Oryzias latipes: one gene and its partners. The protein of the gene in region 6 interacts with the protein of the main gene of each other region in a biochemical or structural test. Links are inferred from orthologs where the notes say so. Each region holds a gene or a part of one and is shown on either strand. Other genes may lie near its edges.

Evidence for each region.
Region 1: the proteins of lcp2 (region 6) and ptpn6 form a complex in vitro, tested with the Homo sapiens proteins (2 studies listed by BioGRID). The link is inferred for Oryzias latipes from reciprocal best matches to the Homo sapiens genes LCP2 and PTPN6.
Region 2: the proteins of lcp2 (region 6) and nck1 form a complex in vitro, tested with the Homo sapiens proteins (2 studies listed by BioGRID and IntAct, with this or other methods). The link is inferred for Oryzias latipes from reciprocal best matches to the Homo sapiens genes LCP2 and NCK1.
Region 3: the proteins of lcp2 (region 6) and itk form a complex in vitro, tested with the Homo sapiens proteins (2 studies listed by BioGRID, with this or other methods). The link is inferred for Oryzias latipes from reciprocal best matches to the Homo sapiens genes LCP2 and ITK.
Region 4: the proteins of lcp2 (region 6) and grb2 form a complex in vitro, tested with the Homo sapiens proteins (4 studies listed by BioGRID and IntAct, with this or other methods). The link is inferred for Oryzias latipes from reciprocal best matches to the Homo sapiens genes LCP2 and GRB2.
Region 5: of the proteins of lcp2 (region 6) and tyrosine-protein kinase ZAP-70, one has a biochemical effect on the other in vitro, tested with the Homo sapiens proteins (2 studies listed by BioGRID). The link is inferred for Oryzias latipes from reciprocal best matches to the Homo sapiens genes LCP2 and ZAP70.

What each region holds. Positions count from the first base shown.
Region 1 is NC_019874.2:20,377,659-20,381,609, reverse strand, and holds the start of ptpn6 (tyrosine-protein phosphatase non-receptor type 6), read left to right. Parts: upstream 1-1,151; 5' UTR 1,152-1,669; intron 1,670-1,981; 5' UTR 1,982-2,045; coding exon 2,046-2,053; intron 2,054-3,002; coding exon 3,003-3,125; intron 3,126-3,951. UniProt on the Homo sapiens protein: Tyrosine phosphatase enzyme that plays important roles in controlling immune signaling pathways and fundamental physiological processes such as hematopoiesis.
Region 2 is NC_019878.2:18,398,983-18,403,277, forward strand, and holds the start of nck1 (cytoplasmic protein NCK1), read left to right. Parts: upstream 1-1,495; 5' UTR 1,496-1,721; intron 1,722-4,295. UniProt on the Homo sapiens protein: Adapter protein which associates with tyrosine-phosphorylated growth factor receptors, such as KDR and PDGFRB, or their cellular substrates. Maintains low levels of EIF2S1 phosphorylation by promoting its dephosphorylation by PP1.
Region 3 is NC_019868.2:21,188,700-21,192,825, reverse strand, and holds the start of itk (tyrosine-protein kinase ITK/TSK), read right to left. Parts: upstream 2,801-4,126; 5' UTR 2,734-2,800; coding exon 2,596-2,733; intron 2,515-2,595; coding exon 2,410-2,514; intron 2,301-2,409; coding exon 2,219-2,300; intron 2,134-2,218; coding exon 2,008-2,133; intron 1,755-2,007; coding exon 1,717-1,754; intron 1,430-1,716; coding exon 1,278-1,429; intron 1,156-1,277; coding exon 1,090-1,155; intron 1,009-1,089; coding exon 954-1,008; intron 511-953; coding exon 431-510; intron 226-430; coding exon 89-225; intron 1-88. UniProt on the Homo sapiens protein: Tyrosine kinase that plays an essential role in regulation of the adaptive immune response. Regulates the development, function and differentiation of conventional T-cells and nonconventional NKT-cells.
Region 4 is NC_019866.2:20,735,366-20,738,306, forward strand, and holds part of grb2 (growth factor receptor-bound protein 2), read right to left. Parts: intron 2,612-2,941; coding exon 2,489-2,611; intron 2,144-2,488; coding exon 1,975-2,143; intron 1-1,974. UniProt on the Homo sapiens protein: Non-enzymatic adapter protein that plays a pivotal role in precisely regulated signaling cascades from cell surface receptors to cellular responses, including signaling transduction and gene expression.
Region 5 is NC_019862.2:14,807,314-14,810,813, forward strand, and holds part of tyrosine-protein kinase ZAP-70, read right to left. Parts: exon of another isoform or gene 2,036-3,500; intron 1,951-2,035; exon of another isoform or gene 1,927-1,950; coding exon 1,481-1,926; intron 1-1,480. UniProt on the Homo sapiens protein: Tyrosine kinase that plays an essential role in regulation of the adaptive immune response. Regulates motility, adhesion and cytokine expression of mature T-cells, as well as thymocyte development.
Region 6 is NC_019872.2:3,251,002-3,254,501, reverse strand, and holds part of lcp2 (lymphocyte cytosolic protein 2), read left to right. Parts: intron 1-1,192; coding exon 1,193-1,258; intron 1,259-1,573; coding exon 1,574-1,599; intron 1,600-1,685; coding exon 1,686-1,741; intron 1,742-2,531; coding exon 2,532-2,706; intron 2,707-2,791; coding exon 2,792-2,886; intron 2,887-3,500. UniProt on the Homo sapiens protein: Adapter protein primarily involved in signaling pathways within T-cells, as well as other immune cells such as platelets, mast cells, and natural killer (NK) cells.

The DNA of each region.
Region 1 (3,951 bases), on a different chromosome or scaffold from region 6:
CATTTTAAATATGATATTCAGACTTTTAAACATCAAAAGCAACAATAACATTTAAAGTAACAACAACCATTAAACCGACTTCAAAGCTACAATCCATCCATCAGTTCTCTGAACCTGCTGAATCCCTTTCAGGGTCATAGGGTTGTTGGAGCCTATCCCTGTTACTGTTGGATAAACCCTGGAGAAGCAGCCAATTTGTTGCAGGGCTTAAAGTAACTAAATATCTAAAATCAAAATAAAGGAGTTGTTTTTCCCTGAAGAAAAAACATGCACTCAATCAATTCTATTCCTACTGATTGGTTCATTTAATAAGATCAACAAACTATAGATGTTTCTCTGTTCACCTTTTTTATGAGGCAGAAAATGCTCAAAGTATCAGTTTGCAGCGCAGTGCAAGCAAACCTGATAGCCCAAGTGAAAAGATCAAATCAGGAACCTTTTTTCCATCACTGTAGGTGTACAGCCATTCTATACGTGTGTGAAAAACGTCTGCCTTTGTCTGAGATTTGAAGCCTTAACATCTGAGAAACAAAGAGACCCCAAACCAAGTCTGACTGCAAAGCGCAAGTGAGGCAAATAATGCAAACAACAATAGCGGGCGTTAACCCCGACGACACCTGCAGGGCTGCATGTGTGTGTTTGTTGGTGCAGGGGCGGGGAGAGCTGCACCATGTACTAGAAACTACACACTTATTCACTTTTTCCTTTAATTTTTTGCTGCAAACACATAAAACCACCAAAGTCCGCTAGTCACTGAACGATTTTACACCTCATGTAGGAAACCATTATTTTCCACTTACATGCTATCTGGTTGTGAGGAATTCATGAAATAATTGCTACTGTATTTGCATTTTCATTTGTTGTGCATTTGCTTCTACGCAAATTTTTGTGTTGTTTTTAGGGATACAAAAAACTCCCCTAAAAGTCACAATATGTACTTTGTGTTTGTGGCTGCAGATAATTTACTCCGTATAAGGATAAAGCAGCAATTTTCAAGGTGCTGGATCGGCGTTCTTTAAATTAAAACAGTTGACAACAGCACATGATATATCAGCTTGCAGCAGCACACGCACACATGCAGCCTCACACATGCAGAGGGGGGAAGGTTCAAATGAGGAAGTGTTCTGTTCTGACCTTTGTGTTTCGCACACTCGTACACACCTGGAAGTAAAGAACAGAGGGCAGATTCAGCCGACAGGTGGAGGAAACTTTGCAAATACTTTCTGTTAGACAAAGAGCGGGCATATTTGTGCATTGATGAGGAGATGGAACTGCCTTTTTGGAGGGTGTTTTTCAACCATACGCCTGTTGGAATTGCCGTTGTCTCACAGCTCTGAACAGAGGAGTCATCTAAAGAAGCTCTGCAGCTGTTTTTCCAGAAGACGGAGGTGATGGAGTTGAAGCCTTCTCTGCTCTTAGATTGGCAACGTTTTTATTTTGGTCATCAATAAAAGAAAAAGAAAAAAAAAAGACACCATCTTTATCTGCTTGAGGAATTCCGGCCTGTCAGCTATTTTGGTTCCTGTCTTGCTTTCACTACTTTGTGAAAGGAGACGTAGAAAGGAAGGAAGGGGAGAGCGTATGAGCACGACGCAGAGGAGGGGAGACAGACACATACAGCGTCAACGTCTCGACCAGTGTCAGTTGTTTTCAGGAGCAGCTGAGGAGAGTAAGTGTTTACCTGCTTTTGCTGTTGAAGGGAAGACTGAGAACCGGGGTCAGCGGCGGTCCGCTGGTGGGTGGTGGCGGGGCAGGGGTGGGTATTAAGTTAATGTGTTACACCAGAGGGAGAGCAAAGGCAATTAGATTTAATTGATTCTTGATAAAAATATCTTAAGTTGAAGGTCAAGTTAGCGCTTGACATACCAAATGTGTTTGCGGTAAATGTACAATTCAAGTAGACCAAAAGTAAGGAAGCTGCAAAAACTACACAAACTTTCAACGCCAAAGTGTGTGATCTGAGTCTACACATGTGCCGCAGGAACAAGCGACTCTTCCCAAATCGCTCTTCTTCTCTTTAGTCCCAGAAAAAGTGAGGAGACGCCATGGTTCGGTGAGTCAAGCCTCTGCCGGACACATCAAACTCTGGTTTTGTTCTTTGTGTTTTGTGCAACAACTTCTCTGTTTCCATTCCTCCTTTTGTCTATTCCCTGCTGCTGGCCTGTCCTGCTCCTCTTCTGTCATGTCATTTGTGATCCCTCGTCAGCTAAACCCTGCAAGTTCAGTATAAGAGACTGGGACATAAATAAAGTGTTTAGGTTTCAGTTCTGTTGTTTCCTCAAAGCTCCACAGTGTCAGACAGATCATGTGTTCGAAAACAGTTATTAACCTTTTTTGTGCAATATGTCAGATTTTAAAAACCTGGTTATTCGTCTAGCTAATAAGGCTGTAAAGCAACATAATTTATTAAAGTACGTCAGCATTACTGACTATGCCCTAATGCACGCTTTGTTTTCCTGATGATCAACAAATTGCATGTAGGTAAAGTGAAAATAGTTTCTGAAGGTTTATGTTAAACCCTTATTGGATCAAGGATTTGGACTGTGGTTCATCACATGAAATTGTCTTTTATCTTTCTTAGGCCAGTGAAACCAAAGGCTTTAATAAAACCTTTAATTTATCACGTTAAAGTCACCCTCTGCCTTAGTATTATTTATGTTTGAGACTCTAAAACAAAAAATATAAAAATGAATATGTTGATTTTGAGGATTTTTACAAAGAATCTACTCAAGATTGTAATGAAACCTAATAATGTTTAAAAGATCATCACCTGAATTTCTTCCCTTCTTTTATTAAAAAGTACAGCTTTTCTCTCCATCTTTACACTTTCTTGCACCCCTGATCTTGTCGAGAAACTCCCATCTCTCTTTTGCGTATGCGTGCACCTGGATTTTCTTGGTCTATTTAAAGCTGTACATTTTAAATCTATGTGACACATGTATGCCTTCTACTAGGTCAATGTTGTTGTGCTTCATCTTTTCTATCTTTGTGCGTCGATCCAGGTGGTTCCACAGAGACATCACAGGCCTGCAGGCTGAGGAAATACTGAAGCTGCGAGGCATTGACGGAAGCTTTTTAGCTCGACCCAGCAAGAAAAACGTTGGAGATTTCTCCCTGTCTGTCAGGTAATGTCTGGTGTGAACAGATGCAGCACATGAGCTGCATCTGCAAAACTTCTTTCAAGTTTTGCAGCCTTTATTTGATGATAAGAAAATAAGCTGAGAGCTGCAGGCTCCCGCCAGGGCCTATATTTTGATGCGAATGATCTACGCACACATGCCAGTTTTGTTGGAGGCCTTTTCTTAAAGTGAGTAAAAGTAGCAGCAATGGAAGCGATTCTTATAATTTATAAAACTTTGCGGATTGAAAAAAAAGGTTGTTACAGAACTCCAAAAGACGTGGTTGCATCTTCTTTGAACAACAGCAGAAAATTAGTCAGATTTGCTCATTTTAGATGTCTTATCTGTAACTTCTTACAGCAAAAGATCCCTTTCCAAGCTCCACTTTGTGAAAACAGTTAGCACTTTCCAATTTTGTGTGAAAAAGTGCACAGCTCTAAATGATCTACTTACTCCCAAGGCCACTTTCTTAGAAAAAAATGCATTTTGGTTAATTCTTATCCTTTCATTTGGATTAAAAAACAATAATTCTAACAGAAAAAACATGTTTTTATGTAAAAAAAAAAAAAAAAAAAAAAAAAAAGAGTCTGAAAGCTTGATCGACAGTTTGATGAACCAAAAATGTTATTTTTGTTTGTAAAATTGTCTATTAAATCTGATTTTTTATTTATTCCGATGCTAAAGCCGCATTTTTCTAATATTTCTCCTCCTTTGGCCGCCCAAGTTGAGCTTAAAAATATGGAAAATAAATTTGTTGTTACACATGCTGCCAAAAATCTTTTAATAGGATCGATTGACTTCGATATTTGATAAGCTCGCAGCTGTAGCCAGG
Region 2 (4,295 bases), on a different chromosome or scaffold from region 6:
CCTCTGGGTATTTATAAAGGCTATAAAGGAGGTCATGTCTTATTAACGTCTGGCACTATAAAACAAGCATGCTTCACTAACAGCCCAGCAGGTGGCATTCATGATCTACTTCAGTAATCTGACTGCTAAGGGCAGTAGAAGCAAGTAAACTACAAATTCAATTATTGGGATAATTAGTTGAAAAAAAAGATAAATTAACACCATCTGATGACTTCCCTTTTCTCTCTGGTTTAAAGAAATCACAAAAAACATTTGACATTTTATCTTAAAGTCAGCAACAACCGGACAATATCTGTGGAATTTGCACAAACATTGTCACCTGACTTAGTTTTAAAAAGAACAAATTTCCATTATCTGTAACTCCACAAAGTGGTTTTAGTGTCAAAATTCAAATTAAAAACAAAATCTAGTTTAGTCTTTCCGTTCTAAAGTGGAGAACCCAATGTGTCCATAATCTTTTTTTTTTATTTATTTGACCTTTTTATTTTTTATTTTGGCAGGCTCATTGTTTCAAATAAAGCTTAAAGCTTGACAACATGGATTTGTGTGTGTTTGAACCATAACAAGCGCTGCAGTTGCTGCAGGCTTGCTTTGAGTTGGGATCTTTCGGCGGGTAGACTGAACTTGTAGTAGAGGTCCATCTGCTTAAGCAGGAAACAGATTGCATCCTGCAACAAGCTGCAGAACCCTCCAAATTACTCTGCGACTCTCTTCACCACAGACCTGTTTATTAAATATGTCATTGTTTGAGGGGAGGGCGTTGAGTTCAGAGGCGTTGGAGGATGAGTTATTGTGCCAATATCTATTTGGGTGTGTCTGTGCCTTGACTCTGCAAGTGACTGAGCATTTTGTTGGTCATGAAAAACAACATGATTGTCTAAAACACTGCAGAATCCTAAATTCTAACAATTTGCTTTAATGCTTGTCAAATGAACTTTCACTTTTAATACGAAACAAAACAAATTTTCCAGGAAAAAAAGTGGATTGTTTTTCAGCAGTTGTATTAGACCCTTTTTGAAAGTAATCTGTATTTAAAATGTATTTTTTACAAAACTATGTCTGACTAAGGTTAAAAATGGAATTCATGTTTTCAATATTTAGGATAATAGCCTTAATATCAGCCTAAATGTAACAATATGTTTTCAAACAAACAGTAGCTGGTTGAATATCAGTGCATGTAAAATCAAATGTAATGATTAACTTTTCTTGAAACATGCAGGAATGTGATTGTTGTGGGGGCTACACACAACTTTTCTGAGGTACAGATTGGTCTAATTTGACCCGTTATCTGAAAAATCAAATATAATTTCTTTATTTTAATTTGCTTTCTCTCTTTGATTTCTTCTTTTTTATCCGAGTAGAAATAACTGTTTCCTAAAACAAAGCAGAACATTCAACTGCAGTGTAAATGATTGACAGGTGAGTTGTCCAATAGGAACGGAGTGGATTCTCCAGCAGCCAATCCCGTTGGAGTAAGGGAGGCTGAGACTGCGGCTAGCTAGCTAGCTTAGCCGTGCAGTAGCAGTGATACGGTCTGATGCAGAAATGCCACACTAGCGAGCAAAGCGTCTCCTCAGCTAGGCTAGCTTCTTGGATTGGTTATGGTGACTTGCTCCTAGCTAGCGGGCATCCTTTTTTTCTCGAGTATTTTTTCTTAAGACCCTTTTCTAAAAATCCTTTCCAGAGAGAAGAGAGAATTGGAGGCGGCCATCAGTAGTCAGGTAAGAGACGTGGTTTGAATAAATATCTGGCTTGTTGAATTTATGCCCCGCTGCCTGCAGATCCACGCTGCTGCCGCTGAAACGTTTGTCCTGAGTAATATAAACTAGCTCCTGATCTCACTGAAACCAACATTAAAGCTCACACAGGCTAAAGGTTAAGACTTAACCAAACTGATCAAAAATACTAATCAGCCTTAGTAGCTGTAACGGTTTCATGTAATCCCTCTGCGGTATACATTTTTTTCTTTCTTTCTTTTTTTTAAGCCACGTTGGATGTATTGACACGCTGTCAAGCTAAAGTTATGACATTAAATCTAAAAACTGAAGTTTAGCAAAAGACTGACGCATTTGAAAGCATTTAGTAAAAAAAATGAAGCGTTTTGTGACTGTATAGTGTCATTTTATTGCATATATTGTAATATTATTTAATGACTTGTGTTATTTTGACTGTAGCATCTTAAAATAAAGTTCAAGCTTAAGGGTTGAAGTTCCTCTCCATCTCAGCTTGTATCAAAAATATCATTATTAATGCGTTTTTTAAAAAAATGATTTTACACAAAAAAAAATAACAAACATGTTTTATTTGAAAAAAGAGCATTTTTTGTCTCCCAAAATCCACCTAGAGTTGCTTCTTCATGGTGCCAGTATTTTCCCCAACCAAATGGCTCTTTGGATTTCTCTTTTGTTTATTTGAAGTCCTTTGGATGGGGATGTTCATGGGATGCAAGGGAGTAACATATCCAAACACCAGCAGCTGCTGAACACTGGCTTCTTTTGTTGTTGTCAACACTGAAGGTTTCTGAGAGAAACACTTTGTCTTCTGGAATCCTGTCCAGATTAAAAAGTCATGTGGAGGTTAGGCACACTTTAAAGAGGGGGTGATGTCTTATCAGCCTGTTTTAACGTGCTAAAATGTGCATTTTTATACCCATAAACGGGAATAGCCACAGGTTGAGGTGCTTGGAAAAGTTGCAGCTGTCAGCTGTCACTGTTGAGGTTTCCTCTTGAAGCCGGCTTTCAGTGTAGACGTGCACGCTTTGCAGTAACGGTAGTTTGTCTTCATCTAAGGCCTGCTTCTGTGGATCTCCCCCCTCATCCCCACCGATTGCACACATATGTTATTACACTAAAACCTTCTGGATATGGAATGATGATCTCATTTTATAGAATATCCTTTTGTCATCTCTTTTCTTGCGTCTGCCTGCACTTCCTGTCTCCACCAAGTCGAACTCAAGTCGAAGGGGAAAATATCAAATGGGCATTTTATGAGAGCCAGAAAACTCCACTGGCTTGCAGTTTGCCTCGTGAAATAAGTCGTTTTACTGATCTCTCTTCATGAGTTCTTTGCTAAAAATGTAAAGAAGTGGGGCGTTTTAAATGTCGATATTCTCTCCTTTTTTCCCTCCCAAATAGAGTTATTGCAACATTTTTCAATGCATTTCCTCTTTTTTTCTGGATTCAGTTTTGAAAAACCCTTTTGCGTCGATTGCTCTTGCATGTCAACATGTTTCGACATTTCATAACCCTTTCTTGTGCAAATAGACACAATCTAGAGAAGATTTCTTTGTTAGATAGTTTATCCAAAAAAAAAAAAAAAAAGATATGCCGCATTGTTTAGTTTTGGATGTACTCTGAGGAGAAGTTTCCATTAATGGCTTTCTTTGTGGTAGCTTTTTCTCACTTCTGCAAAGGTTTAGCACCTGAGTGCGGTTTGAATGTCTGCTATCGATTTTAATTTTAGGTTAATTATAAGGTTTCCTGTTAAAATAAGTACTTTCAGTTGTGCTTTATTTCGGTCATACTTCATGATGGTTTGGGGGTTTTCTTTCAGTGGCTTTGGACGAGTAAAATTGAGGATGTGGGCACTTGAGCAACAGTGACTTCATATTGTTATGGACAAACCCTGCTGCAGTTATGACAAAAAAGGGAAATTAGTCATATTTTAGTCTTTATAGAAAATACGTTTCCATTATGATAAAAAAACAAACCTTTGCAGGCATTGTTTTTTTTAAATAATTATTTAATTTTTACGCTTTTATTCCAATTCTGATTAGGAGCATACTATCAAATTGAAAACTCTACATCACTGATTTTGTTGTAAAAAGGAAGAAATCTGTGTATTTTGTGATTTAAAAACAATACAATTTGACCCCTAAGGTGACTATTGGATGGATGGATAGATAGGATGATGGATGGATGGATGAACGGACGAATAGATCGATAGATGGATAGAAAGATAAATGATGGATAGATAGATGGTTGGATGGATCAATGGATAGATGGATGGATGGATGGATCAATCGATGGATGAACTGACTAATAGATAGATGTATGGAAGGATTGAAAGATTGATGAATAGCAGGATGATGGATGGATGGATGAATAGGTTGATAGATGGATAGAAAGATGGATGATGGATAGATCGATGGATGGATGGATCAATCGATGGATGAATGGACAAATAAATAGATAGATGTATGGATGGATGGATGGATAGATAGATTGATGAATAGAAGGATGATGGATGAATGGACGAATAGATCGATAGATGGATAGAAAGATGGATGATAGATG
Region 3 (4,126 bases), on a different chromosome or scaffold from region 6:
TAGATAAGTTATCATGCAAATATATATAAATATATATCAAAGAAAAACAAATTCCTTAATGCTAAATGTGTGCAGAAGGCATGTTTACCAGCAGCATTGTGTTGGTGATAGTGGATGAGCTCAGGAATGGTGTTGAACAGATACTTTTCAGCCAAGTAGAACTGTCCTCCTTCCTCCTGCCTTATCTGATAATGTTTCACCCTGGGATTCTTTTCACCTTTTGATCTAAAAAATACATATGTATTTACATTTTAGAGCAACAAACATCATAAGAAAATAGCAAAATGTAAACTAATGTTTTTAAAAAAGACAGAAAAAGGGGATGTTTACTTATGTAGAACATGTTCAAACATACTAATGTAAAATAAAATGTCAGAAAGCACATTTTGTGTAGACTCTTTGAGTTGTATGTGGTTAAAATGACAGTTACCCGGGCGCTTTGGTGTAAACGGACACCGTGTAGACTCCTGCTTGTCTTGAGTCCCGCACCATGAATGCACCTTCTTTTCCCTGTAGTAAGAATGAAGATATTGCATAACACAGCTGACTGTCTTGCACACATCTCTTTTCTCACTTTTTTAAGATTTGTTGCTGGCCAAGCTCTTTGAAAGTGTCTGAGTCGCAGGAGGTGATGGGAGCGCAGTTCTCCCACCTGTTTGCAAAGTTCAGCAGACATTCTGTCAGCAGGAAATTCAGTTTTGAAGGAAACATCGCGGTTTTGAGAACAAATGTTCACGTCCCATGTCACTCCACAATGTCAGTTTGCAGGTGCATTATTTTTGCAAAAGCAAGATTTCTGTGGGCGGCACTATTGAAAAGTAAAGTGCGTCTTATCATGCCAGAGGAATTTTTTTTTTCTTTTACTTGATTTTTGAGATTACCAACCAGGTAATTTTCCATAAAGCACGACAAAGTTTAAAATAAATAAATAAATAAGTGGTTTATGCTCCTACCTTTTTCATTAACAAGTCTTCTGCCTCGGCTCTGTTAATGTGCTTGTTGTACCATCTGTAAAGCGACAAATCAACAAGTACATCTAAACAGTGTCTTGTAGATGTGTAAGATTAAATAAGATCTGACAAAACTCACTGAAATCTCTCAAAGTTTTTGCCACATTTTTCCGCAACGTACGTACTGGGCACAAAACCAGTTTTACTGTTAAGAAAAAAAAAATCACAAATATGTTCTTTAGAAATATTTAATTTTCAATGTATTGGTTTTTTAAAAGAAGGTCAAATCTGCTTTTTTATTTATTTATTTATTTTTTAAAGCCTTACCCCTTGTCGTCCTGCACAGCCCACCACTCAGAGTGGGAGCTGTTGATCAACAGGTACTCCTGATCTTTCTGGAGGGGCAAATCGTCGTCTCCCATGGGCACATAATCTTGCAAAGCTATGACCATCCCCTGTGTTGAAGGTTGTAATGACATCTGCAAAAATCAACCATATCTAAGAAACAATTCACTACTAAAAATTCATTCAAAAAGGCAAAAACAATGTACAAGACATGACTGGACTTTTACAGTTAGGGTAACATTTGATGAATAAACCGGCTGTCTCAGTTCTATTCAAATAAATCTACCAGATGTACAGAAAAGGCAAAGCAAAAAAAAGTCAAGTAACTTTGCTATGAATTGCTACAAATTGCTGTAAATTAACTGATTTGTCAGTTTTCAATGGCTGCATTAATAGAACATTAACATTTGAAGAGGTCTACCTCTGGATCTGGGAGTTGGGGAAGTGGCTTCTTAGTGACTGTGGATTAAGTAAACAGTGGAATTAGTAGTTAAGGCTTTTTCTTGCATATCACAAGCACTGACACAGAATCCTATGCAGAGTATAAAGATTTTAGCATCTAAAATGCAGATTTTTAGGCCACAATCCCTTTTTAGGGAGAATATTCACAAAGGTAAACAAATAAGAAATAAATATATGATAAATATATGAAATGGAACGTGTGAGATCTAATTGTAACTAAAAGAAGAAACAATAACAAATGAATACAAACCACAACCCACTGGATCATACACACGACAACCTGCTGCCAGTTTGTCAGTTTGTAGGCAGCATCTCCATTTTCCATCCATCCAGAAGTTTGTGTGGTATTTTGCAACCAAACTGTTATATTTAGTCTCTACATAGAAAGATGAACATATTTCTTTATATGCAGGTCAAGATATTAAAATTACAATGATACAAAGAGGTTCTGATTGAATTACCCTCCTTGAGGGCTTTGACCCATCTCATACGACAGTCGTTGTCTGGAGCAAAAATGTAGAGGTAATAGTTGTCATGAAGAACCTGCAAAGCATTTGTGATTTAAAGAAAATATGAGACAGAAATCTTCAAAATTCCTTTGAATTAAAAATGAAATAAATTATTTTTTAAGTTAAAAAACTGCGACTGGTACCTGAAATGGGTACTTGTATTGGCATGGTATGGGGATGTCACTACACACAATTTCCACACACTTAATACTGGACAGTTGAATGCAACCTTTTAGCATGGGCTTCTTCTGCAAGATCGTGCCATTTCCAAAAGTTGTCAGTTCAGTCAAGCTCAATTTGACAATTCCATGAAGCACACAAGCACTCACCCCCGAACGGCGCTCAGAATACTTCAGCTCCTGTGTGTCCAAAACAAAAAATCTCTCTTTGTAATTACACGGTGACGTTCTCTTCTTTTGCTGAGATTTTTTGATCATGGTTCCCTTCAAAATCACCCGAGGAAACATGGTTAGCAGTTGAGAATAACACCACTGGAGACACTGGGTGGTATTGGACGGAGTAACTGAAAGCCTCTGACTGCAGGGGGGAAAAAAAAGGGAGAATGCAAACATTGAAGATGCCGAAGAGTTTCCGGCGTGGGTTAGTTGCATGCAGTAAACCACATCCTTGTGGCAACACTCTGTGCAAGCAATCACACACTGATGTGCACACAAATACACACACGTATCATCACGTATGTTGTGTTAAACTCAATAAAGGTTTTTTTTTTAACATGAACCTTTGATGTACTATTGATCAAATTTTGCATAAAAATGTAAGCTTTTTGTCAGAATTGCTTGGTTGTTAAACAAAAATGTTTTAGAAAACAATTTAAATTTTCATATTAAATCAAAAGCTAAAAACAAAAATAACACTGTTAATCAATACCTAAGAAGCCATAGCTGGGGTTTTTTTTCGGAATTTTTAAATTTTCTTTTTTCTTCATTTAAAAGAAACTCTCCGCTTGTATCAAAATTGTAGTAAAAAAGTACTACTGAAGGAAAACTTAAAAATGAAAAAAATGCAATTTTTAAAAATGTAAAATGCATGATAAGTTATATCCTACAAACACTAAGAATGTCAAGGTTTCATGAATCACTAAATGCAGAAAACAGCAAAAGAGAAAAGTCTGGTTTCTAAGAAAAATGTATCCAAATACAATATGGAACCTTTGATGTACTTTTCATGAGGCTATGTTTTCTTTGGGGTTAGAAAGATTCTTATTTTTCTTTTCAATTTTGGTTCAAATACGATGTTCTTGTTTTGTTTTGCACACTCCGAAGCACAACCTTTGCCCTCTGCTAAATATTCACTAGGCCTATGACAACGTTTATAAAATAAAATGTTACATGTCATTCTTATTTAGTGTCAGGGTCAAGATGAAGTCAGCTTACTTATAATAGTTTGACCATTTTTATTTAAGTGTAAAAAAAAGAAAAAGAATGAATATTAGGTGTTGCTAATTGACTAAGTAGAAAATGAAACATAAAATTCAAAGTTAGACACTTTCACCTGCCCTACTGTATTTAGGGCGTAAAAACAAATGATAGATACATTTTTAAAATTAGAGTCCCCCTCCCCCCCCTTTTTTATGGTTACAGATCTGAACTTTTTTTGCTTGGGTTTGATTTCTTAAGCAGCTTATTTTAAGAACATATTTTAAGATTTATAGGCCTACCAGGATCAGAACCTGAACTCACTATATTAAACAAACAAAAACTAACAAAAAGTTTAAAACAATTAATACAGGAAAGAGATTAGTTTTGAATAAAACCCACTAATTATAAGGTTAATAATGAAATACTTTAAAGGCTTGTCGACGCAACCAATCAACGTCGAGTTTGTTTCCGGGTCACTGTC
Region 4 (2,941 bases), on a different chromosome or scaffold from region 6:
AGAGGAACATTTTCTGTGCCGAGTTTCTTAACACATGCCAGCGTAATTCATCCATGCTGTAGGAAAATTCGTAAATGTCCTTTAACGTAAAAATAAGTATTTTCTAAACGTAATAAACGTGAATCCACCGTGTCTGCATCTTTATCAGATTTATGCAGAGCGGCTTCTGGTACGCGGGAACGACTGTGAATCTGTATTTGGAGGAAGACTTCTGGTTTTGTCTGTAAATAAGGTCTCAATTTTTCGATGAATTGGAAGAGTCTTCTTTGGTTTCCCTGCAGACTCTTTTCTCCCCAAAGAAACTTTCCAAATACATTTATTTGTTGGTTTTATTAGCTTTTAAGCGTTGAACAGCTGCCTAAAGTCATGTGACGCGTCCAGACAGACGGATGTGGTGAACAAAATTCGGTAGTTTTCCAAAATAAAACTTCCTTTAGTATCAGAAAATAGACAAAACAGAAATAATCGGAGTTGGAGTATGTATTTTTGTTCTGTCTGCTACCCTAACCCTGATACCGGTCCTGGGTTTGGGGGACCGCTGCTTTAGACGTCTTGTCTGATTCTTCGTCACAGCATCGCAGTCTTCTCCGTTGCATTTACAGTTGATCTCCAATGCATTGGACTGAGAGGCCGTGGTCGGACGCCGGAGCCTCCACAGCTCCACGCCTGAATGTTTCCCGTTAAACGGCGGCATTAATGTCGATGCATTCACTCAGAACTGGACCAAACGTGTTGTTTAGTGCAGCCATCTCAATCCAATCACGAGAAAAAGCTTTTAGCAAAAGAAAGAAGGCGCACAAGCATTGAAGAGCTGCTTTTACAACATCTGAATTGATTTGAATCCATCACAGAACATTCACATGAATGTCTATTTTTAACAACTGTGACTAAAAAGAACAGAGTGCAGCAGAGCAGGAGAGGTTTTTACTACTATATTCTTTTGTTTCTGCAGAATTAAACTCCACATACCACATAAATATATGTTTGGCTGAGTTTGCAACTTGTCCTGAGGTGCGACTGATATGTATAAAAAAAAAAAATCAATAGCAACAACCACGAGAGGGCGCTGTAGATGTGCGCATCAGCATTTCCTACTGACAGCGTGACAGAAGAAGTGGCGCTCAGTCCAACACCAGGCTTGGCGTGAAGTGTGACGCATTTGTGATCTTTTTCTTCTTTCTTGCTCCTGTGACTGTCAAGTCTGGAGCGACTCATAGTCCAAAAAGATACAGTAATTTGTCAAAATGTAAGTTTTTATATAAATAAAAGTACGCATTTTTAACAGCTTTCCATGTATTGGATCATACCACGATGAAGTCTGGATGGTACATAGTCTTGAATGCGTTTAGGATTTGATTGTTATTAGTATTTTCAGTGCTGCTCTCCACAAAACCATGAAACACCTTTGTGACTAATATGAACATGCAGGAATGAAATGATCTCACATTCATCTTTAAAGCGCTTCTGTGTAATCCTGTACTCCAAATGTCAGTTTAACCGTTTGTGACACTGAAATGTGGCCGATGGCACAGCGTAGCTGCAATAAGAAATACTTTTCAAAGTTAAAACGACCACAACAACAACAAAAAAAAGGTTCTGCTCTAGTTTACGTCCATAAAGTCTTTAAAAAGAAAACCTGTGACATTTAGATTTTACGATGCATCATAAAAATGGATCAGCTAAAAGAAAGAAAGCTCTGATGCGAATCAGAAGCATTAGGTGCAGTCATGTGACCTCGGCATGTGGTGACCTCAGAGTGGTTTTTTTACACCCACGGTTCCACGCCAAAGATCCGCTCCACGGCAGGTCTTCCGCTGAGCTCACATGTGGTCGGGCTGCAAACCCATATGCTGGGACATTTGTGTCTTCATGTATTTGCACAGAAGGTGCACATGGACAGTCAGTGTGCTCCATCAACACAGAAACCAATCCTTAAGCCCCATTTTTAAAGAACAGTTTAGTGGGATGTCTTACCTGGGGAACCTGCTCTATGTCTCGCAGAAAGATTTGCTGATTGCGGGAGACTGAGGTGGTGCGGTGGTAATCGACCAACTCATTGAGAGAGTTAAACTTCACCACCCATAGGAAATACTTTCCAGCTCCATCGCGGAGAACCTTGAAGTGCTGCACGTCATTTCCAAACCTGCAGAGAACAGAAACTCAGACTCTGAACAGTGTGGTGGAGAAGCAGCTAAATGAAAGAGAGTGGAGGGAAGCAAAGAAAAAAAATGCTCCTAAAAACATTTTTATTACTAAATGAAAAAACAAAAGCAGAAAAATTGTAGTTTTATCAGAAATTTGTTTTCTAAAAACATTTTTAAAAACTGGAAATAAGGGAAAAACCACAAGTGACTCAAACTCCGAGAACATAAATTTGTTCAGAAATGAGGAAGCACGTCACGCCCAGGTTGAAGGGGAAAAATATGAATGGAAAAACTAATGCGAGTAATTTTTTCCTGGATTGTGGCGTCAGAGTGCGGCCGCTCACTTGACAGACAGGGAGAAGTCCCCCGGTGCGCTCTCGCTCTCTCTGATGAGGAAGGCCCCATCGAGCCTCTGCTTGTTCAGCATCTCCTCCGCTTTGGCGCGAGGAATCTTCCCGAAGAACCACCTGGAGGACGGCAAACACAACAAGAACTTAGTTTACACATGGGACTTTAAATCAATAACCATTTTGGTTTGGGATCACTAAGTTGATGCAAACGTGCAGAAGAAACCGTATGGAAGACACCTCTGATGCTACGTTCACACCGCCTTAAGCGACACAGGTTCAAGCATCCACTTCAGATGAAAAGTCTATGGAAACGCTCCTAAATATGGGTTTGGGCCTTCCGCAATCAAAACTCACACATTTACGCGTAGCTATGAAAGCTTTTACGACCATTTTTCAGGCTCCATGTAGAAAACGCGCTGCCACTGAATGCGTGTTGAAAGTTAAACC
Region 5 (3,500 bases), on a different chromosome or scaffold from region 6:
TCTGCACGTTCACATCACAACTTGCAACCATCGGTAAGCTTTCAGAGTCAGCAAACCTACATTGGGCCTGCATTGCGGTAAAAGGTGGGATGTTTGGCAAAACAAGTTGAGCCTGCAAACAACTGGAACTTGTTTGACTGTTTAACTAGAGCCCATAAAAGGTGCCAGTCTGCTTCAGATTGGTCGCAGCAGGAGGGATGATGTTGAAACTAGACAGTGTGTAACACATTAAAGTGAATCAAAGCTAAGTGTCTTAAGCTACAGGGGAGGTACAATTTGTCCAAACTGACCCTTTCTTTGTTCCTATTTTCTTTAAAAAAATCTTGTATCCTTAAATTGCCTTAATTTTTGAGTGTGTTAGTGCAGGCACAACGCTTAAACATACTTTTAGAATGAACAGAAACAGTAGAGTTAGTTCTGTTTGACTTTCTTGACAGAAAAAGGGTGGTTTAAATTTTAAAAAGTGCTAGAATATTAAATTGATTGATTAAGATGGCAGGAGTTTGAAAAGCATGGCATCCGTTTCTTTTTGGAGACAATTTTAGCTGCAAGATGGTTGAAATCCACAAAATTTAAAACAGTATCACCCGGTTTTACAGTTTTAATTTTTACATCTTTACACGATGTCTAAAATGTTTCCTTTTTGTCTATCTATCTATCAATGCTAAAGTTCAATTTTGAAATTTTTGACAGTTTTTCCAGACTGAGATAAAGCATTTTATCCATTAATGAACTAAAAAAGAAAAAAAATAGATGATACAAACTGTTCTTTTATTAAATATTAAAAATTTTTTTTTCCATTTTTAATATTTTTTTGTCTCCCAAAGAATCCTAAGAGACAATTTCTTTTTTTTTTTGACTGATCTTGATAATGGCACTGAAGTATGTCCATGTGTGTGTAAAATGTTCCTGTTGCCTTTTCAACAACAGTGATGTTACTTTTCTGTTTTCTCAAGCCCTACCTAGAAATTGATCAAATAGTTTAAAGTTTTTCCACTTTGGGCCGGATTAATGTATAACCAGCCAGATGGAGTTAGTTCTGTTATATGTTGGATGGCCTCCTCCCATGTAGATGGACTCAGGAGTGATTGTAGTGGTTACTTAAGTGATGAGTTTTCCCAACAACATTTTTTACAGGAACAAAAGTCTGGATTATTACCGGTATGTTATACAAAGGTGTCTATATTTTGGTTTGGACATGAAATCTGACACTGGAAGTTTAAATGTCAGTCTAAATGTAATGAGGATAAACCATTGAAGAAAATACAGCTGTTTGTGGTTTTACTTGTCCTTCAATACTAACAAGTAATCCCAGTCCTTGCAGTTGACTTTAAAGAAGATGTCCTCTTTTTTATGCTGTGCATTCTCAAAAAATGTTTCTTAAAAGCAAACAAAAAGTCAAATGGGATGAAGAGCAGTAAACTTGAACCAGTTCTGAGAATATTGAAATGACAGTTTTTAGAGATAACCAGAATCTTACCTCCAGGTTCCAGGTCTGCCTGACGTATTCCCTCAACATGTTCACTCTTATTTTGTCAAACACCCCCATCTTGATTGGTGTATTCGGAGGGCGCAAGCAAGGTTTTCTCAGGATGCACACCAGACCGTCTGGATCTTTGCTGTAAAACTCACAGAGCTCTGCCGGTCCACAGTGAGGCTTCCCTCCTGCGATGCAGTAAGTCCCGTTCAGCTGCTTCTCTATGGAGTAGTGGTGAAACTCCAGGTTCCACACAACTGACAAGACGTAGCCTCCAAGATTACGGAGACAGTGTCGGAGCAAGAAGAGGCCATCGGCCATGCCACCCAGTTTCAGTTGCTGCTCTGCATCTGAGCGACTGATGCTTCCATAGAAGAAAGGCAGTTCGATTGCGGGGTCGACGGACATCCTGAAACCTGGAATGTCAGCTAGTCGGGGTTCTGGAAGCCCTGGATAAAGTTCAGATTGGGAAACTAGAGAGGCAGAAGAACATGCTTGTTCAGTGGAGGAGCCTTTAATGAATACACACAAAGGTAAATCCCGTCTGGGACCTCTGACCTTTTTAGTCACATCCTGTTCCACTCAGCTCAATCAAAAAACTTCCTCTCCTTCGCCCAATTATTCAAAAAACATGAAAAAACAGAAAAATGTAAAATTCTCACCTCTTTTGCTTATCCCAGTTGTGCTCAAATAGCATTGACAAAAAACTCAAAGCACCAATGTTTTTGTTCTTAAACTTTCAGCTCTGAAAAAATGAAATCTGAGGATGATGTTCTCTTGGAAAGGACCTTAAGCATGAAGCGCCCACTAGATAAGGTTGCATGAAGCTTGCAGATTGACAAAAGCCACAACAGGAAGTCACAATCCGCCCTCAAAGCCTTATTTCTCCAACACGCTGTTCTTCCGTTGAACAGGTGCTGCCGGGTTCTGGAGCATTTCACTTTAGAAAGTTTGTGACATTTTCCTTTATGAGGGGGGGTAGAGGCACAGCGTGCTAATTTATTTTCTAAAAAACTGTCACTTTTACTGTGTTGAAGCCTGTAGGTTCTGAAGCTTGTGACTTAAAGAAAGATCAGCATGAAATTGTGCAGTCTGGAACATGTATGCGATGACACATACAACCTCCAAACTTCAGTCAACTACATAGGATGTTGCACACGTCCTGTCTTTGCAGTATTTCTCTGTAGCTCACATCTTCCTATGCACGAAACTGGATATACCCACCCTCTTAAATCTGATTCTTTTTTATATTGGCTTCATAAAAAAGACTAAAAAGATGATGCAGAACCTCAGTTTCCTGACTTTATGCTCAGGATTCTGCCCACATCCACAGTGGACAACCAAGCAGAGGCGTTCTGCAGCCACAGGAAGCAAGAGCCCTCTGTAGCCTGACCCCCAGCTCACCACAACAAAGAGAGCCAGACACTGCAGTGTGGATGCATGGTTAGCTGTCTAAACTGAAACTGTTCTGCAAAAAAGCCAACAAGCCTCCTAAATCAATATTGTGAAAAGCTTTTTCAATATTTGATTAAGTTTTTTTTTTTTTTTACTGCTCTGTAGTTGGCTGACCAGGAACCAAATTCATGTCACCCTGTTGTGAAAATAAAATTAAGATCCTTGAAATTCTTGAAATTCAAGAAATAATGTCCTTCAGATAACTTTCTAGTTCCAAATTGCTTTACTTTTTTACATTGTAAACATAATAATAAATACATTTAAAAATGTAGGTTAGACTTTTTTCTTTTTTAAGTTTAGTTTTTTTACATTTTGGTTGTGAAATTTTACGACTTTTTTCCTAGATGGTGGCAAACAGTTTTTGACCAAAACCTCTGATTGGTCAAAAGTATTTACTCCTCTTAATATTGAACTATGAAGAATTGACAACATTTCTTAAGTGTTTCTGGATTATAAACAAAATGCAATAAATGAATTAAAAAAGATAAAGAAAAAACCTTAACAACATTTTACTTCTATTTTTTTAATTCTTTCATTACATTTGAGTAATGATATTGTTTAAATTTGG
Region 6 (3,500 bases):
TTATGGACCTTGCTTTAGTCACTGGTCCACAGTCATGTTGGAAGAGGAAGGGGCCACTCCAAACGGTTCCCACAAGGTTGGAGCATGGAATTGTCCAAAATGTTTTGGTATCATGAAGCATTCAGAGTTCCTTTCACTGGAACTAAGGGGCCAAGCCTAAATTACCACGCCATAATTCTTCCTCCACCAAATTTCACACTCGGCACAAAACAGTCCCAAATGTACCGTTCTACTGGCCACTTCCAAACCCAGACTCGTCCATCAGATTGCTGGATGGAAAAGTGTGATTCGTCTCTCCAGAGAAGGCGTCTCCACTGCTCTAGAGTCCAGTGGCGGCGTGCTTTTCACCTCTGCACCCGACGCTTTGCATTGCACTTGGTGACGTGTGGCTTGGATGCAGCTGCTCGACCATGGAAAACCATTCCATGAAGTTCTCTGCATGCTGAACTCGGGCTAATCTGAAGGTCACATGAAGTTTGGAGCTCTGTAGAAATTGACTGTACAGAAAGTCGGTGACCTCTTTGCACTACGCGCTTCAGCATCCGCTCACCCCTCTCCATCAGGTTACGTGGTCTACCACTTGGTAGTTGAGTTGCTGTTGTTCCCAAAATCTTCCGTGTTGTTCTTATAGAGCTGACAGTTAACTGTGGAAGATTTAGGAGTGAGGACATCAATGTAACAGGAGAAATTTGGTTTCACGAGCTACATAAAACAAAATCTTGCATTTTTATTTTTTTGTGTACAGTTTTGTATGTATGCATACACGTTCTTTTGACAGCTATCTTCCCCTACAGATCTGACTCATGTGGGTCCTTCATGTCACTTGGGCCCAGTCTGAAAATCCTGACGAGCTGCGTGAGCACACATTAGAGTCTTCAGAGAGAAAGCTGCCTAAAGAGGGAAGGCAGCCAGAGAGTGGCTGACCCAAAAACATCTTCACAACAGTTTTTAAGGAAACCGTTGAGTCCACTGATCACAGCTTACAGGGTCATGGAAACTCACAGTTTGCCTGCAGCGAAGCAGCAATTTTCAGCTTAGAAAAGAATTTGTAATCATAGAAACAAACGAAAGTTCTATATGAAAAAAGATCAGAACAGTTCAGTTCTGGGCTGGTTCTGTACTGAATCTGCTACACCGGGTCATGAGGAAGCTGCTGCAGTTTGTGTGATTCATGCTTTTTGTGTGTCCGCAGGATGATCTCCAAGCTCAGTAATGAAATCCGCAGGAACGAGGGGAAGAGAAGCCTGTTTGGTAAAAAGTACGTTCCTGTTTCCCTTAACCTGACTTAAACATTGGGGACTCAGTTGTGGTGGTCATCTTAGATTGACATGTGTTTGTAGCTGATTCTTCCAGTGTGAATAGAATTTGTGTCTTCACAAAGCCAGACTTGCACATAGGACTGTGGAAGCTCAGTCTGGGCTGAACACCGCAGAGGCTGCTGTTAGGATTCATCATGTGTCTGCAGAGGCCATGAAGACATTTCTGACATGATTTTTATCAAGCTTCTGAATGCACTGAACCCAGTCTGAGCATGAGTTGCTGTGAAGTTCTGATCCATGTCTGTCTTCCACAGACAAGCCCCCGTGTTTCCTGACGCAGGTGAGTTTCTCCTATACTGAGAATTCCTTAGTTTCTCCAAGAGAATTTTGCTGATGTGTATTTTTTTGTTTTTTACCTGTGATCAGGTTTCTGCTCTACAGACACCAGCTCTGAGGCCCAAGGGTGGAGCGATAATGAATTTGTAAGTTGATTTTTCCTCATAACCTTCAGCTTCTGAAGAGCTTTTGGAAATTTGGGAGCTTTGTGAAACAGCAACACCCTTACAGATCACCTCCATTTATTTATGATATGGCCGCAGCGGCTCAGGTGGTTGAGCAGGTCGGCCAATGATTGAAGGATTGGCGGTTTGATCACTGCTCCCCCCAGTCAGCTGCCGTTGTGTCCTTGGGCAAGACACTTGACCCTCCCTGCCTCCATGTGGCACCACTGGTGTATTAATGTGTAGGACTCTCCCAGCCCTGAACAGGAACAGAGGATGGATGGAATTTCAATTTTTGGAAAAACACAGAGATACACAATGCAAAACAGATAAGATCATATTAGGCTGAGTAACCGTTTTGGTAAAACTGATGTCTGACTCTAAAATGCAGGTCTGCATGAAACAAAACCAGGTCAGGGTTACTCATTTCAGGTCCAAGTCAGACATTGAAAGTCTTCAGTCCTGGATTTGTTGGACTTGAGTGAATCTTTCCCCAAAGTAGACCACTCTATTCCTTCAAAGAGACTGTGGAAGAGTTATGCTTGTTTTTGTTTGGTAAATGTCATTTATATGTTATTTTAAAACATTTTTACATTTAATGATTGACTAGGTTTTTTTAATATTATTTTTACTATTTTTATTGACTCTTTTGTTTTGTTGCATGCATTTTTTTTTCTTTTTATTTATTTATTTTAGGTTTCTCATGCAGTTTGACAGCATTTCCTCTGTTCTTTTCTTTCTATCACATCTATAAACCCTCTTTTGCCAACAGGAAGACGACGACGACTATGAGAGTCCGTACAGTGATGAAAAGGAAGAAAGTGACAACTACGAGTCCCCGAGCGAAGACCCATCTAACGAATACGAGCCCCCGCCTTCAGCACCATCGGATGATGGGGTTACCAAGTTTTACCCAACGTCCCCCATAGGGGAGGGGGATTATATTGGTACTCAATGAAGCACATGGTTGACTTCAGGCCTGCATACCACTACCTGAGTAGGTAACCAAAAGCCATGTTTATACCTCCACAGATAAAAGAGATAACCACACGTCTAACATGAGCGCACCTCCAGCTTTGAGTCCCCGCCCCCTGGCTTCCACTCTGCCAGGGCATTCATCCCGAGATGTGAGTACGCAGGGAGCCAAAAGATCTGCACCCGAGCAGAAAGCTTCTACCGAGCTGTCAGTAAAACCTGTCTTCAACCATTTCTCATTAAGAACTGATAACTCAGCGATACAGAGGAGCGTTGCAGCCAGCAAACCACTAGCTGCGTTTACATGGACAAAAGTAATCATAATGAACGCCTGATCAGAATAAAAATGCGTCATGTAAACACGCCGTTCTGAATACTCTGCCCTGATCAGTCATTTGGATCAAAATTTCTTTCCGATGGAGATAGGTGGGTTATGCCGATTGCAGGCAGGGGAGGTGCTTTGTTACTGTGTGCTCCGGAGGAGGCTTCAGTCCATCCGGCTGCTCTGCTTTAGCGAGCTGCTGGACTCAGGAGAACCGCGTCTCCCCACAACAGTGGAGCGGTTCTTGGATGTGTGTGAGCTAACGGAGGCAGCTTTGATTGGAGAAATGCTGCTCAGTCCTGAGAAACCGTGTGAACAATCATGTGAATTCATGTTTCCAATCATGTCCAGACATAATTAAGGCGGATGTTATTCCCACATATTTACGTTCAGTCAAGATACAGATTGCAGCATATCCCGCATGGATTTGAGCTATTTCCACGG